Linked DNA regions of Macaca mulatta. The protein of the gene in region 2 binds, or shares a complex with, the protein of the main gene of each other region. Links are inferred from orthologs where the notes say so. Each region holds a gene or a part of one and is shown on either strand. Other genes may lie near its edges.

The links.
Region 1: the proteins of CDK6 (region 2) and CDKN2A are in contact, whole or in part, in a crystal structure (PDB 1BI7), measured with the Homo sapiens proteins. The link is inferred for Macaca mulatta from reciprocal best matches to the Homo sapiens genes CDK6 and CDKN2A. Residues at the interface, in NP_001138778.1 of Homo sapiens: Glu14, Cys15, Val16, Ala17, Glu18, Ile19, Phe28, Lys29, Arg31, Leu33, Asn35, Gly36, Gly37, Arg38, Phe39, Arg44, His100, Asp102, Gln103, Asp104, Thr106, Thr107, Asp110, Lys111, Gln149, Thr154, Ser155, Leu166, Ala167, Arg168; in NP_000068.1 of Homo sapiens: Thr18, Ala21, Arg22, Gly23, Arg24, Glu27, Asn42, Tyr44, Arg46, Gln50, Val51, Met52, Met53, Met54, Gly55, Ser56, Arg58, Asp74, Ala76, Thr77, Thr79, Asp84, Arg87, Glu88, Gly89, Phe90, Asp92, Asp108, Trp110, His123.

Annotation. Positions count from the first base shown.
Region 1 is NC_133420.1:77,238,844-77,243,330, forward strand, and holds the start of CDKN2A (cyclin-dependent kinase inhibitor 2A), read left to right. Parts: upstream 1-1,671; 5' UTR 1,672-1,989; coding exon 1,990-2,115; intron 2,116-4,487. UniProt on the Homo sapiens protein: Acts as a negative regulator of the proliferation of normal cells by interacting strongly with CDK4 and CDK6. This inhibits their ability to interact with cyclins D and to phosphorylate the retinoblastoma protein.
Region 2 is NC_133408.1:126,759,816-126,763,631, reverse strand, and holds part of CDK6 (cyclin-dependent kinase 6), read right to left. Parts: intron 2,302-3,816; coding exon 2,166-2,301; intron 1-2,165. UniProt on the Homo sapiens protein: Serine/threonine-protein kinase involved in the control of the cell cycle and differentiation; promotes G1/S transition. Phosphorylates pRB/RB1 and NPM1.

The DNA.
Region 1 (4,487 bases), on a different chromosome or scaffold from region 2:
GGTGGTGGAGGGGCCCATAATCTTTTCAGGGAATAAGGTCTTCTTGATCTTTCTTTCTTTTTTTTCTTTTTTTTTTTTTTTTTTTTGAGACCGAGTTTCGCTCTTGTCTCCCAGGCTGGAGTGCAATGGCGCGATCTTGGCTCACTGCAACCTGCGCCTCCTCCTAGGTTCAAGCGATTCTCCTACATCAGCCTCCCAGTAGCTGGGATCACAGGCATGCACCACCAAGCCCAGCTAATTTTGTATTTTTTAGTAGAGACAGGGTTTCGCCATATTGGTCAGGATTGTCTCGAACTCCTGACCTCAGGTGATCCTCCTGTCTCAGTCTCCCAGAATGCTGGGATTATAGGCGTGAGCCACCGCGTCCAGCCTTTCCTTTTATATAATAGTGATAATTCTATCCAAAGCTTTTTTTTTTTTTTTTTTTTTTTTTTTTTGAATCGGAGTCTCATTCTGTCACCCAGGCTGGAAGGCGGTGGCGCGATCTCGGCTCACGGCAACCTCTACCTCCTGGGTTCCAGCGATTCTCCTGCCTCAGCCTCCTGAGTAGCTGGAATTACACACGTGCGCCACCACGCCCGGCTAAGTTTTGTATTTTTAGTACAGACGGCCAAAGCTGGCCTCGAACTCCTGACCTCAGGTATCTGCCCGCCTCAACTTCCCAAAGTGCTGGGATTACAGGCGTGAACCACCGCGTCCGGCTCCAAAGCATTTTCTTTCTATGCCTCAAAACAAGATTGCAAGCCAATCCTCAAAACGGATAATTCAAGAGCTAACAGGTATTAGTTTAGGATGTGTGGCAGTGTTCTTAAGTCTTATATGTATTAATATACAACAATTCATTTAAACTCACAACACCCCTGTAAAGCAGGGGGTACTCATATTCCCTTCTCCCTTTATAACTAAGAAAAATGCAAAGTATTTTCAGTAGGAAAGAGAAATGTGAGGAGTGTGTAGGAGACAGGACAATGTGTAAAGCGGGTCTTTGGATCACTGTGCAACTCTGCCTCTAGAACACTGAGCACTTTTTCTGGTCTAGGAATTATGACTTTGAGAATGTAGTCCGTCCTTCCAATGACTCCATCTCCATTTTCCTATCTGCCTACAGGCAGAAATCTCCCCCGTATTAAATAAACCTCATCTTTTCAGAGTCTGCTGTTATACCAGGCAATGTACACGTCTGAGAAACCCTTGCCCCAGACAGCCATTTTACACGTAGGAGGGGAAGGGGTGGAGAAGGAGAGGGTAGGCCAACTCTCCAAAAGGAATCCTTTGAACTAGGATTTCTGAGTTAGTGAACCCCGCGCTCTCGAAAATCAAGGGTTGAGGGGGTAGGGGGACACTTTCTAGTCGTACAGGTGATTTCGATTCTCGGTGGGGCTCTCACAACTAGGAAGGAACAGTTTTGCTTTTTCTTATGATTAAAAGAAGAAGCTATACTTTCCCTATGACACCAAACACCCCGATTCAATTTGGCAGTTAGGAAGGTTGTACCGCGCAGGAAGGAAACGGGGCGGGGGGCGGGGGGATTTCTTTTTTTCTTTTTAACTGAGTGAACGCACTCGAACGCGCCTTTGCTGGCAGGCGGGGGAGCGCGGCTGGGAGCAGGGAGGCCGGAGGGCGGTGTTGGGGGCAGGTGAGGAGGAGGAGCCCAGTCCTCCTTCCTTGCCAACGCTGGCTCTGGCGGGGGCTGCTTCCGGCTGGTGCCCCCGGGGGAGGCCCACCCTGGGGCGACTTCAGGGGTGCCACATTCTCTACGTGCTCGGAGTTAATAGCACCTCCTCCAAGCACTCGCGAACGGCGCCCCCCTGCCTGGAAAGATACCGCGATCCCTCCAGAGGAGTTGAGGGACAGAGGCCGAGGGGGCTCTTCCGCCAGCACCGGAGGAACAAAGAGGAGGGGCTGGCTGGTCACCAGAGGGTGGGGCGGCCGCGTGCACTTGGCCGCTGCGGAGAGTGGGAGAGCAGGGAGCGAGCAGCCGGGAGCAGCATGGAGCCTTCGGCGGACTGGCTGGCCACGGCTGCGGCCCGGGGTCGGGTAGAGGAGGTGCGGGCGCTGCTCGAGGCGGGGGCGCTGCCCAACGCACCGAATAGTTACGGTCGGAGGCCGATCCAGGTGGGTGGAGGGTCTGCAGCGGGAGCAGGGGATGGCGGGCGACTCTGGAGGACGAAGTTTGCAGGGGAGTCGGAATCAGGTAGCGCTTTGAGTCTGGAAAAAAGGGCTTCCTGGGGAGTTTTCAGAAGGGGTTTGTAATCACAGACCTCCTGCTGGCGAAGCCCTGGGTGCTTGCGAAGCCAAGGAAGGAATGAGGAGGCACGCGCGTGCCGATCTCTCGAATGCTGTGAAGATCTGAAGGGGGGAACATATTTGTATTAGATGGAAGTATGCTCTATCAGATACAAAACTTACGAAGGTTTGAGATAAAACGGGAGTCTTAAAGAAATGTAAGATGTGCTGGGACTACTTAGCCCCCAATTCACAGATGCCTGGATGGAGTTTATCTTTCTTACTAGTAGGGATTATCAGTGGAAATCTGTGGTGTATGTTGGAATAAATATCGAATATAAATTTCTGATCGAAATTATTCAGAAGCTGCCGGGCGCAGTGCCTCACGCCTTATAATCCCATCACTTTGGGAGCTCAAGGAGCGGGGGGATCACCTAAGAGTTCGAGACCAGCCTGGCCAACAGGTGAAACCCCGCCTCTACTAAAAATACAAAACTTAGCCGGGGGGTGGTGGCAGGCGCCTGTAATCCCAGCTACTCGGGAGGTTGAGGCAGGAGAATCGCTTGAACCCGGGAGGCTGAGGTTGCAGTGAACAGCGAGAGGGAGCCACTTCACTCCAGCCTGGGTGACAGAGTGAGACTGTCGAAAGAAAGAAAGAGAAAGAGAGAGATAAAAAAAAAAAAAAAGCATTCAGAAGCAACTACATATTGTGTTTATTTTTAACTGAGTAGGGCAAATAAATACATGTTTGCTGTAGGAACTTAGGAAATAATGAGCTACATTCATGTGATCGTGCCAGAAGTAATATGTAGTCACCATTTTGGGAATATCTGCTAATATTTTTACTGTTTTGCTATCTTTAGCTTACTTGATAATAGTTTATTTTGTGATAGAGTTTTCAATTCCTCATTTTTGAACAGTGGTGTTTCTCCTCTCCCTACTCCGGTTTTGTGAGGGAGTTAGGGGATGATTTAAAAGTAATTAATGCATGGGTAACTTAGCATCTCTAAAATTTTGCCAACAGCTTGGACCCGGGAATTTGGCTTTGTAGTCCTAAAATATCTTAGAAGAGACCTTATTTGTTTAAAAACAAAAAGGAAAAAGAAAAGTGGATAGTTTTGACAATTTTTAATGGGGAAGGGAGAAGAACATGTAGAAAAGGGGAAGTGTTGTTGGCTTAGAATCCTAACTACACTGGTGTTTAATATAGGAACACTTATTTGTATAATATTTTTAAATGCTAAATTCATATCAATTTATTATCAAATGGGTTTAAGCATCCTACACATTTTAATTCAATGAATTCATTTTCTTTTTGCTTTGGATTTATATCATGATTTAAATATTTACATATGGGTTACTTTTTAGGTTTTTCATTCTATGAAATATAATAAAAACCTTTAAGGCTAGTTTTATGACCAAGACGAAGAGAACTTCAGTGAACACACGGAACAATAAATATGCTGCAACATTTTGTCTTTCTTTTTGTAGCTGCAATTTGGTTTGCTTATACTTTCTCTTTGTCTCTTTGAAAACTAAGTCAGTTTCACTTTCTCAGGACAGCATTTAATAACCATAATATAATTTAGTATAATTCCTTGATTTAGGCAAATTATGCAATTTGTGTTTAGTATGAAATGTACCTAAAAATAAGTAATTCCTCTTTAACACAACCATCCTCAAGCTAATATAACAAATAACAGTTATCCTAAAATAAATTGTTTATTTCCACCATGCAACACTCAAATTTTAAGGTTGCTATGACTGGAGACAGTATTTTAAAATTCCTCTCTGGAAATGGCTTTGTTTCCAAGATGATTTAGGAACCAAAAAGGTGACCATCTCTTGTTTAATGAACTCTCAAATCATAAACCTGGGAAGCCTTTTCGTTTCCTATTGCTGCTGTTACAAATTACCACAAATGTGTTAGCTAAAACAAACAAAATTATTATTTTACAGTACAGTTCTAGAGATCAGAAGTCAAAAATGGGTCCACTTTGGGAAACTCTAAGGGACAATCTGTTTCCTTGTCTTTTCCAGCTTCTAGTGACCATCAAATTCCTTGGCTCATATTCCCTGTATTTTCTCTGTGGCCTGTGCTTCCATTCTTTTATCTTCTCTCTGACTGTGACCCTCTAATAAAAACACTTGGGGTTCTATTGGGCCCACCCTGAAAATTCTGGATAATCTCCCTCAAGACCATTACTTAAATCACATCTGCAAAGCCTCTTTTGCTACATAAGTTAATAAATTAACAGTTT
Region 2 (3,816 bases):
CAGTAGCAGCAGTCTCTGTTCCCAAACTGTCCATACCTAAATTAGAATGTGTCCCTAATTTCAGTCTCATTTCCACCCCTACTTCAGGTAATCTTGTTACTCAAATCCTCCACCTCTCCTTCCACCAATGCCTCCTGCTGGGTGCCTAGCAGGTGGCAAGCACTAAATAGTGATGAGTAAGACCTCCTCATTGCCCCAGGAGTTCACAAGTAGCAGGAAAGCCACATCGGCTTCTCCATCCTAAAGTGAACTGAGTATATGAAATGTCTGTGCATTCCAGTCTTCTATGTAATTTACAGACTTTACATTATCATGGTTAATGGAAGAACTCTTCCACTTAAGAGGTCTGCATGACCATGATATTAATAGGACTCCTGCCAACAGTCCTAGTCAGGTTCCAACTGGATTAGGGACCTCTCTAATATTGCATCGAAAGCTTAAAAACAAATACAAACAGAAAGTTCTATGTGTATTTCAGGCAAATTCTTGGGTCCTCTGAAATCTGAGCTCCCCTTCAGTCCATGGTTGCTAGCCTCCCTATAGGATCTTCTGAACATCAAGAGCTAAAGGGCAAGCGGAAGAAAGAGCTTGTTTGTAGAAAGGTTCCAAGTGTCTGTTACAGCAATAAATATCTCTAGAAAAGCTTTGCAAGGGCTGAATTCCCAAAGGACTGGAGAGCAGGGGCAAAATTCCTGATCCTGAGTTCTCTTTTCCCAGAGTCCAAGAAGGAGAAAATTAGGTAATGGCATTAGGAAAGGAAGCAGCTAATTTAATCTCCAGGACATAGGAAAGAAGAGAAAAGAGCTGTGGGAATACGTTCACGATACAGAGACGTGTCTCTAGAGGATTATGTGAGAGGAAGCCCTTTCCTCACAGCTACATTGATGGCTTAAAGCTGGGAAGAGGGTGGAGAGAAGGAGAACGACTTAGCCAAATGTGGGGGTGCAGGAGAATCTCAAGTTGGAAGTCTTAATACACTTTGTCCTATAGAAATACGGTTTAAAACAGGTGTTTAAGTTCTATTATTGCTCTACTTTAGGAACAAGGTTGCCGGGTTAAGAATTAATTAAAAAACCTTGTGTTAATAATATTGTTTCTGCAAGAAAATTTAGTTTAATTGCCAAATAGTTTACTCATAAAATGAGCTTCTGGAATCACAACTTAGTCAAGAGTTAGATACTATGGTAGATCGGATAACTTTTAGTACATTCCCTCTTTTCTCTCCCCTCTCACCATAGGGGGAGCATTCTTTCCTCCATTCAAGTTGGCCTTAGGTATGGAACTTGCTTTGGCCAATGGAACATGGGCAGAGTGGCGGGTACTTCTTCCAAGTATGGACCTTCAGGGGTGTTGTATATTTCTGCTTGCCCTTTTGGAACATCCACCTTCTATCATGAGAAAAACATGCCCCAGGGAGCTGCTGCCTCTCTGGCATGGGCCCCAGAATGAGACACATGGAGAAGACCTGTGCTTCACCCATGGGCAGAAGCAGATATCAAAGGCTGTTGATTCAGGAGGTAAAGGATACACTCATTACTCATTGGGTTTCAGACATCAAGAACAGCCCAACAGCTACACTTTTCCACCTATTGTTCTGGCCTCCAGGTATAGAAAATTAAGTATATGGTCGAGTATTATGAGTCTCAAACAGAGCACAGAAGTCCTTATTTTCAGCGAGGTATTTTATATGTGCCTGGCACACTAAATACTTATTAAATAAATTAGCAACTAGAAGAAGTATTGCTATATAGTTCTTTTGGAAAAACATCTCCCCAAAGTTGTGGATATTTAACAAAAGGCACATTAAAATGACAAATTACTTAAAGTAGCATGAAACTGTAAGCAAGGAAACATAATATTTACTTCTAAATAAACATATGTCAAAGTGAATTGAGAGGCTTCTAAAGCTGCATTGAAATAAACATTCAAAGATGGCAGATTTAAAAAAATGTGGATCAGAAAGACATTCCAGAATCAAAAGCCACCAGCTGCTACAAGTGTGAAAATGAAACCTCTGGAGGGACTGTCGCCTCCTGCCCCACGTGGCTGTGGCACGTGATGCCGATAGCAGCTACTGAACTGATATTTGTGACTACCACCCAGTCTGGGTAGGGCAGGTGTCTCACTGGCACAGTGCAGACCAGTTTGACATCACAAAAACTTACCAGAAGTAGGTCTTTGCCTAGTTCATCGATATCTGTTACAAACTTCTCAATTGGTTGGGCAGATTTTGAATGAAAAGCCTGCCTGGGAAGGGCAACATCTCTAGGCCAGTCTTCTTCTCCTGGGAGTCCAATTACGCTACAAAAGAACCACACATAGACATGAACATTAGCTGCTATGCAGAAGCTGTTTTCTTATCAATTTCCAGAGAAAGGCAAAATCTAAGGGGGAGGCATGGGGGAGACAGTCCCAGGAGACCTTCACTTTATGACTGGCAGGGTCTCTGTTTATCTCTGTCCTACCGCAATATGGTGTCATGGGGTAGAGGGTAATCTCACAGAAGAATTGTAAAATTCACTGGGAGGAGATAAGAGATTGCTCTGGTAGCAGACACTAAATGTAAGGGGTGATGTAGAAATAGAAAATATATTGCCAGGCAGTAAGCCCTGACTTAGTGACAAAGCAGGACTTATTGTATTCAGAGGAGACCCATACTAGTATATACATTTCTTAATGTCCAAGAATGCTTTCTGTGTTTTGATCGAACGTCCCAGTATTGGCATGATTTTTATGATGCTCATCCAACATGGTTTATTAACATATCAATTTGGTTGCATTTTTGGTTAAAGAGTAATTCCCTAAATATTAAATATATACATTAGAATCAGAAGGAAAAATGACGCTAAAACGTTTGTTAGTCCTGCATTATTCAAACACGATTTTATAAAAGGAGGTCTGTGGTATTCCAAAGTGAGCAAACAGTAAATTAAAAGACTATTATTTATATTTCCCCTGAAAACCATTCTGGGATCAGAAATGTGGAAAGAACAGTAAGTGATAAAAAGCACAGGCTTTGGAAATAGGCAGGCTTGGGTTCAAATCCTGCACCTGCCACTTACTGGCAGGTAAGGACAAATTACTTAACATCTATGACCCTTAGTGTCTTTATGTATACAATGATAATAACTTACAGTTGTAATGAGGATCAGTTATACTTTATTTAAATTTATAGTAATATATAAATTTATAATTTAAAGTATATAGCACAGCACCTGATACACATTACACACAGTCAATATCAATCAATACATTGTCAATTATTATTATAGTTAGAAAATGTTGTTATTCATCCAAGATGCATAGGAAATACATCACTATCACACTTAAAATATGAACTGCTTATATCCTATTTATGTATAACTTAATATTCTTTAAAAATATTAATAGGTCAATGGACTTACATAACTTATATATTGTATAGACATTATTTATAGTTCACATATAGGTCATAAGTAGGTTTGAACAGAGAAAATCAGAGGATGCAGGGACTTCTTTCCCATACAGACTGTATAACTCTGAACTAAAAATAAAATCATAGTTTAGTGGACGGGTTATATAGCTATTCAAATACTGGACCAAATAATGTTTTTTTTTTTTGAGATGGAGTCTCGCTCTGCCGCCCAGGCTGGAGTGCAGTGGCACAATCTCGGCTCACTGCAAGCTCCACTTCCCGTGTTCACGCCATTCTCCTGCCTCAGCCTCCTGAGTAGCCGGGACTACAGGCGACCGCCACCACACCTGACTAATTTTTTGTGTTTTTAGTAGAGACGGGGTTTTACCGTGTTAGCCAGGATGGTCTCAATCTCCTGACCT